Linked DNA regions of Lonchura striata. The protein of the gene in region 1 binds, or shares a complex with, the protein of each later gene. Links are inferred from orthologs where the notes say so. Each region holds a gene or a part of one and is shown on either strand. Other genes may lie near its edges.

Region 1 (3,901 bases):
GTATGAAATATGTAATATTGGATATTTGTTAAATCATGCCCGTCGTATTAGTTTCCCCCCCCCCTCCCCCTTTACAGGCGAGACTGGATGTATATTAGAAACTGATTTACAAGTAAAAGGATGTGGCTCGGCCAGGAGATGGGCCATATCTGGGCTCCAGGTGTTGATCATCACCATCGGTGCTGATCGTCTGAGATGGATATCATGGAAATCCTTAGACAGATCCATGTGAATGCAGCCTTCCCGTAAACTCTCATCAAGAATTCAACTACTCCGAATTCAACTACTCTGGACATTGAATTATTTCTCCTCATCACCAAAAAAAGAAAATCTTATTAACCTATAGACTCTGAATAGAAGAAAAGACTAACTGCTCAAATCTTGGCCTCAGGTGGAATTTTCCCTATAAAAACCACTCGGGCCAGGATGGAGGTGTGTGGGCATAGGGGAAAACCTCTGCTGAGGCTGACTCCTTGTTGCACACCCAGGGCCGACCCCGGGCTCGGCTCTGTTCTTTCCGTGTGGCTGGCTAGATAGAATTTGACCGCTAATAAAATTATTTTTATTTTTAATCTGGCTGAATAAATTCTCATTTATAACACCAACCAAGGCTTTTTTTCCATCCTGAAGCAGGAATGACTTTGCACTCCAGGGTGAAAGCGACAGATGAGAGGACATAGCCATATGCTGTACCAGTGGAGGTTCACGTTGGCCATTAGGAGGAATTTTATCACAGAAAGGGTGTTTGAGTATTGGGATGAACTGCCCGGGGAGAAGTGGTATTGTCACCGTCCCTGGAAGTGTTTAAGACTGGATGTGGCAGTTAGTGCCATGGTCTAGTTGATCAGGTGTTGTTTGATCATAGGTTGCACTCGACGATCTCAGAGATCTTTTCCAAGCTAACAGATTCCGTGATTCTGTGAAATGCCTTCCTTAGCAGAACGGTCTGACAGTAACACGTGAGTACGAACAGGAGACCCCAGGGACATTATCTAGGCGAGGCTTCACATCAGAAAGTCCTCGTGTCCCACCTGCGGGCTTGCGGGCGCTTCTCCAGCGACACTTCCGCCAGTGGGGGTTGTGAGCGCGGCGCGGACAGAGCCCCGCGCAGCGCAGAGCAGGAACGGGACTACAACCCCCGGCGCGCCCCGCGGCCGCTGCCGCGCGCGCCCCGCAGCCTGGCGACACCGGCTGCAGTGCGGCAGCGGAGCGCGCCCCGTGACGTCGCGACGCAGCAGCCAATCCCGGAGCGGGGAGCAGAACTGCCGGCGTTCAAATCCTCCGCCTCCCCCGCCCGCCCCTCACCCAGCGGCCCCGGCGCGGCGGCAGCGGCGTGAGGCTCCCGCGCCTTCCCCGGTGGCGGAATCCCCGAGGAGGTGAGGGCAGAGGCGGCAGCCGCCGTCTCCGTTAGCGGCCGGCGGAGGGGGCCGTGCGTGCGGGGGGGCGATCCCGCGGGCTGACGCGCCCCTCGGCCCCGCCTGCGGGGGGCGCTCCCACGCGCAGGCGGGGCCCCCCGCTCGCGTCGCGCGTGTCCGGCGGCGGGTCCCCCACGCGCTCCGCTGCCCGCGCGGGGCGGCAAGGGGCGTTCCGGCCGCGTGGGGCGGGGCCGTGCGGCCTGCGCTCGGCGGCTCCCGCGGGGCAAGAGCGGCGCTGGGGGCTGTCAGCGGCCGGCCGGGCGGGCACTCGGGCTGTCGCCCCGCGCTGCCCGGTGCCCCGTGGCTGGGCGAGCAGCACGTAGCTGGTGCGTTGGTTGTTGGGGTAGATGAAGTGTTGTAACTAAAGTATGCGTCTGAACTAACTTTTTCGATCATAGGGGAACGTAAAGTTTCATACATCCCTTAAGTGAAAAGGAAACCTGTCTTTAGGCGTTTCCAGATCTTGGTTGTGTTTGCCAAACGGACTACCTCTTCCTTCTTTCCTTCTTTCCTTCTTTCCTTCTTTCCTTCTTTCCTTCTTTCCTTCTTTCCTTCTTTCCTTCTTTCCTTCTTTCCTTCTTTCCTTCTTTCCTTCTTTCCTTCTTTCCTTCTTTCCTTCTTTCCTTCTTTCCTTCTTTCCTTCTTTCCTTCTTTCCTTCTTTCCTTCCTTCCCAAAAGCTTTTTCAGCGTAAGAATTAACAGTAACGAGACCTCTGGTAGGTTGACAGGTGGGTGTGGGTGACATGTGCTATAAAACATGCTTCAGGATGTGTATGTTGAGATTAGAAGGTAGTCTATGTGTAAGGTGAAGAACAACAAAGGTGATTCAAGGGAAAGAGAAGCCAGGAGGATGTGAACATCTGTAAGAAAGATGATCATAATAGATTAGAAATTATTTTTAAGAGTAAAGTTGTTAACTTTACTCTTAAACTAGGTGGACAGGCTGACTTCTGCAGATAGTAACTTATGTTCCTATCTGGTAAAGCCTTCATGGTTTGGAGGATGTCCTCTTTCTTCTCAGTGTTGGATTGGCAGAGGCTGGGCGTGTCCATGAGTTTGGTATCTGGGTGTCTAGTAGGACTGGAATAAGCTATGTGGGTTTGATGCCTGAAGTTTTAGCTTTCATGTTTTTCAGGTTCTGTACTGCCTTAGTGTGTAACTCTGAACTTCATATAAAGTGTTAGCAAGTTCTCTTCACAGGGCAGGTAGACAAAACAATCCTTTTCCAGCCTGAGAACCAAGGACACTGTTGCAGCTTCATGCCCAAAAAGTGTGAACAACAGCAAATTGAGGAAAGCCATCTGGGAGGATGGGACTTCATAACCTGAAGCTGTAATTGGACAATTAACCCCAACATGGAAATAGACCAAAACTTATAAAATATGAAACCTCATGATCAGGTGTCCATCTTGGGTGGAGTCATGGCTGGTCTGCTGTACTGCCCAAGGTTTATCTTTTGAAGGCCTTTTAATAAACACCTACTTTATTGCTTTAACTCTGTCTAGCCTCTGTTCAGGTAGCCACAGTAGGCATCAGTTTCTTTCTACTGGCAGCAACTACTTGAGAGGATAGTCATCCTAGAAAAATTATGTTGCTCAGCCTTGGAGATTTTCACCCCCTGTTTCCAAAAGTGATATTAAAATTAAAGACCCCTGAAAAGAAGTCATACTCTGGGGAAGCTGGGGTATCAGGAGGAAAGTGTGCAGAGGAAAATATACAGTTTTCCTATAGAGGATATTTTAAAACCAGCACTATTGACCTCAAGCAGCTACAAGAGTGTGGGGTCACTTCTAATCAGACAGGAATGGAAGGGAACCAGTTTTCTGTTGCAGGAATGGAACTTCATCCCTTCTGACATCTAAAGTCTAAGTGTGGGGTTTCTAAGCATTAGTTGTGTGTAGCCTTTTATCTCAGCAGAGACAGTGGGATAAGAAATGTACTCTAGTTATTGTGCTCAATGGATGGAGGGCAGTTCCTTCAGCCAGTGATTAATATTCATTAAATAATGCTATGCAGATGCTACCAGACATGGCTAGCTTCAAATTTGTGCCTCAAGGCTAGATGCTCATTAATTTATTTTAAGTGTAAGATCATCCTGTTTAACGTGTGATGAATTTGTGTGGAACATCTGAAAGGAGAGAGCACCCAGGAAGCTGAGAGAGTTTTGTATGCAGCACACAGTGTTTTCAGCAACTCGATGGTTCTGGAACTGTGCTGACAAGGGCACTTCTGGGAATATCACTGAAAAGGAAAAGCAACTGTTCATTCTAGCTTGCTTTGGAGAGCATGGGAAGCATGCAACACATATAATTAAAGGATGGAACTTGAAACAAGAGGGATATTGCATTGTAATTGTTAATCTTGCACAAAGAGTAATGTCTTAATGTGGCCTTAATCCATAGTTTTACCTACTGTTTATTTATGAAGTATATTGTCAGTGTTGGAAGAATCAGCACCATCTGACTGACTGGCTTTGGAGTATTAAG
Region 2 (3,901 bases), on another chromosome or scaffold:
GCGAGTGCAAAACCTCCTGACCCCCCATAGGGACAAAGTTCCTGACTCTTGGAGTCGGGAAAGCCCCCTGACCCCCCAAGGGGACAAAGTTCCTGACTCTTGGAGTCGGGAAAGCCCCCTGACCCCCCAAGGGGACAAAGTTCCTGACTCTTGGAGTCGGAAAAGCCCCCTGACCCCCCAAGGGGACAAAGTTCCCGACTCAACGAGCTCCGAGACGGCAAAACCTCCTGACTCTAGGAGAGGACAAAGCTCCGGACCCAGCCGTGCCAGCGCTGTCGGGGCCGGCTGGGGGAGAGAAAAGGGGACAGGAGCAGGAGAGGCAGAAATAGCCCAAATTTTAGCCTGGAAGTGTTGCAGAACGCACGCGCGCATCGCTCCAGCCCGGCGAGCGCGCGCTCCGGGAACGGGCACGGGAGGGGCGGGGCGAGCGGGGCCGGGGCGGGGCGAGCGGGGCCGGGGCGGGGCGAGCGGGGCGGGGCGAGCGGGGCTGGGGCGGGGCGAGCGGGGCTGGGGCGGGTCCAGGGGCGGGGTGTGTTCGGTCGTGGGCGGAGCCGGACGGGGCAGTGGGCGGGTCCATCAGGGCTGCGGGCGGCTCTATTAGAGTTAGCGGGCGGCTCTATCAGGGCTGCGGGCGAGTCCCGCCGAGCCGCGGGCCGGTCCCTCAGGCAGTGGGCGGCTTTATCAGGACTGCGGGCCGGTCCCTCAGGCAGTGGGCGGGTCCCTCGGAGCCGCGGGCGGACCCCTCAGGCAGTGGCCGGCTCTATTAGGGCTGTGGGCGGCTCTATCCGGCCAGCGGGCCGGTCCCTTAGGCAGTGGACGTGTCACTAAGGGCAGCGGGCGGCTCTTTCAGGGCAGCGGGCGGCTCTCTCAGGCAGCGGGCGGGTCCCTCAGGCAGCGGGCGGTCCCCGGGCAGTGGGCGGGTCCCTCAGGCAGCGGGCGGGTCCCTCAGGCAGCGGGCGGATCCCTCAGGCAGCGGGCGGTCCCCGGGCAGCGGGCGGTCCCCGGGCAGCGGGCTCTATCCGGGCAGCGGGCGGGTCCCTCAGGCAGTGGGCGGCTCTATCCGGGCAGCGGGCGGTCCCCGGGCAGCGGGCTCTATCCGGGCAGCGGGCGGGTCCCTCAGGCAGTGGGCGGCTCTATCCGGGCAGCGGGCGGTCCCCGGGCAGCGGGCTCTATCCGGGCAGCGGGCGGGTCCCTCAGGCAGCGGGCGGTCCCCGGGCAGCGGGCGGTCCCCGGGCAGCGGGCTCTATCCGGGCAGCGGGCGGGTCCCTCAGGCAGCGGGCGTGTCCCTCAGGCAGCGGGCGGTCCCCGGGCAGCGGGCGGTCCCCGGGCAGCGGGCTCTATCCGGGCAGCGGGCGGGTCCCTCAGGCAGCGGGCGTGTCCCTCAGGCAGCGGGCGGTCCCCGGGCAGCGGGCGGGTCCCTCAGGCAGCGGGCGGTCCCCGGGCAGCGGGCGGTCCCCGGGCAGCGGGCTCTATCCGGGCAGCGGGCGGGTCCCTCAGGCAGCGGGCGGTCCCCGGGCAGCGGGCTCTATCCGGGCGCCGCCGCTGCGGCGCGGGGCGGGGCGCGCCGCCGGAAGTGCGCGCGGTCCATGTACCAATGGCTGCTCGCGGTCCTCCGCGCTCTCCGCGATGCCGCCCGCCAGGCCCCGGCCCCGGCCCTCGCCCTCAGCCCGGAGCCGCCGCCCCGAAAGAAACCGCCCCCCAGGTCAGCCCTGCCCGCCGCGCCTCCGCCCCGCCCGGCCGCCGTGCGGGTGTGGAAAATGCCCGGCGAGCGCCAGGTGCTGCCCGCAGCTGTGGCGGTGACTGCGGGTCCCGGATAGCGCCGGCCCATGCGCGGCCCCCAGGTGTTGCCTCCAGCCCCTGTTCATCTGCTCGGGGCGGGAGGGCTGGAGCAGGTGCTGGGGCAGCAGCAGGGCACACGCACCCCTGGGGACAGCTGGCTGGAAGGATGCCACGCACCGCGGATAGGAGCAGGATGCCGCCCCGGGCGCTAGCCGTGCTGCTGGCGGTGGCCGGAGCCGCTCGGGATGTACGGTGTGCAGGCTCCGGGAGGCCGTGCCCGCTGTCCCATCGCCGAGTGACACGAGGGAATGTGTCTGGAAACAGCCGCGCGTTGCTCCAGTGGCTGTCACTGAGGAGCAGCTCAGAAGGAATTGGCTCTTGTGGGGGGGAGGAATAAAAATAGGAACGTTCTTTGCGCCCTGTTCCTAAAGAACACGTTTTTACCGGACTTAAGTAGCAACTGATAAAAATCCTTGCGTTTAGGCTTGTGGGAAGGGGTGAGGTTGGTAATTGTTTCAAGGATTTGTTCCCGAGCTGACTCAGCAGGAAGCTGCTGGAGTGGATGTAAGCAGCACTGGCATTCCCACCTCGCATTTCCTGTTCTACCTAAACTTTCCTTTGCAGCTCAGCGTAGTGACATGGACTTGGGTGGCTTAGTGACCTCTGGAGTGCTTCTTTCCTGGAGGAAAGAGGACAGCATTACCTATTAAGGCACTTTTTGGTGATAGGAACAAATGCAGAACACGAGGAAGAAAGAGAAGAGGCCTGATCTGCTTTAGTGGGATGATCAGCCCTCTGGGAGATGATCCTGGGGAAGCAGGAAAGCCCCCTTTGGAAGTTTGGGCCTGCTGGGAGCTGAATTGTGCTTGCAAACATGGTTTTGTCTGTTCTTCCCTCAGTGTTCTGTCACCTGTGGAAGATCCTGATGAGATCCCGGCAAAGAGGCTGAAAACAGGTATTGCCCCTCAGAGAGGTTTGATATGCCTCATTTTCCTTGGGTTTGGGGTACCTTGGGGAACTCTGGGATTGCTGCTGAAGCTGAGGATTTTTTAGCCAGTCTTGTGGCTGGAGGGGGTCTCATGGGGCCTGGGTCTGTTGATGATGTGTGCCAGTGTTCATGGATGTGGCACTTGGGCACATGGGTCAGTGGTGGCCTTGGCAGTGCTGTGGGAACAGTTGGACTTGATGACCTTATAGGGTTTATCCAACCTTAATGGTTGTCTGATTTTCAAACCAAGTGGAGGATGGGAGATCCTGGTCAGATGAAGGCAGGAACAGAAGCAGGGAACAACTTTTTCCATCCTGGGAGGGCCATGTCTTTGCACCAAGGATAAATCCTGGCTGGGGCAGGGCATGGCATGTCCCAGCTCTCTCTGGCACTGAGCCCTGCAGGGCAGCACAAAGAGCATTTTCAGTGAAGGCTGTTGCAGTTCCATGGGGGATGTGGAGATTCCTAATTCCTTCTTGGGAGCAAGATCCTCAGGGATGGGGTGGGGGGGTGCTGCTGGGCTGTTGCTGTGTTGTTGAAATGAGTTACCTGCTCCATGTGGGCTCAAGGAGCTGGGCTTGGGTGTAAGCAGAAATCCCAACCTCTGCTTCCATTCCCATTCTTCATGAGCTGGTGGTGTGGTTTTTCCAGAATGTGTCTCTGGGGCTAACAAGGAGCCTGAAGAGGTTTCTGTGGCTGACAAGTTGCTACCTAAGGCAACAAGTAGAAGCCAGGAGACTGAAGAGAGAGATGACTTCTCTGAGGCTGAAGAGAAGGTGAGCAAGGATTTTGATGGGAACTCGGGGATCAGCTCCCACAATCCCTGCAGGTGTTAGAGCCTGTGTAACAAAAGTGGTGCCATCAGTGCCCCTGCCTTCTGCTGCAACCCAAGCAAAACCATGGGCTCTGAGTCAGAACACAGCTGACTGGATTTCAGGAAAGGGAGGTGCTTGCTTGGATTCACATTCAGGTTATGCTCACTCTGGTATTTGCTTTTATTTCAGGTTGTGTACATTTCTTCTGACTCTTCATTTGCAGCATCTGGAGGGGATGAGGACACGAAAGAACCTGGTAGGGCTGACAGCAAGTCCTTCACTCATTCCTTTCTCCTGCTGCTCTGAGTCTGGGCAGCTC

Evidence for each region.
Region 2: the proteins of RANGAP1 (region 1) and SENP2 are in contact, whole or in part, in a crystal structure (PDB 2IO3), measured with the Homo sapiens proteins. The link is inferred for Lonchura striata from reciprocal best matches to the Homo sapiens genes RANGAP1 and SENP2. Residues at the interface, in NP_001265580.1 of Homo sapiens: Glu467, Asn508, Thr511, Thr514, Arg515, Val518, His519, Leu523, Lys524, Ser525, Glu526, Asp527, Val529; in NP_067640.2 of Homo sapiens: Tyr408, His409, Trp410, Val477, His478, Asp495, Met497, Gly498, Gln499, Lys500, Pro536, His537, Gln541, Gln542, Asn544, Gly545.

The regions. Positions count from the first base shown.
Region 1 is NC_134607.1:58,518,575-58,522,475, forward strand, and holds the start of RANGAP1 (ran GTPase-activating protein 1), read left to right. Parts: upstream 1-1,290; 5' UTR 1,291-1,376; intron 1,377-3,901. UniProt on the Homo sapiens protein: GTPase activator for RAN. Converts cytoplasmic GTP-bound RAN to GDP-bound RAN, which is essential for RAN-mediated nuclear import and export. Mediates dissociation of cargo from nuclear export complexes containing XPO1, RAN and RANBP2 after nuclear export.
Region 2 is NC_134612.1:5,573,703-5,577,603, forward strand, and holds the start of SENP2 (sentrin-specific protease 2), read left to right. Parts: upstream 1-1,557; 5' UTR 1,558-1,586; coding exon 1,587-1,702; intron 1,703-2,678; coding exon 2,679-2,734; intron 2,735-3,418; coding exon 3,419-3,543; intron 3,544-3,771; coding exon 3,772-3,838; intron 3,839-3,901. UniProt on the Homo sapiens protein: Protease that catalyzes two essential functions in the SUMO pathway.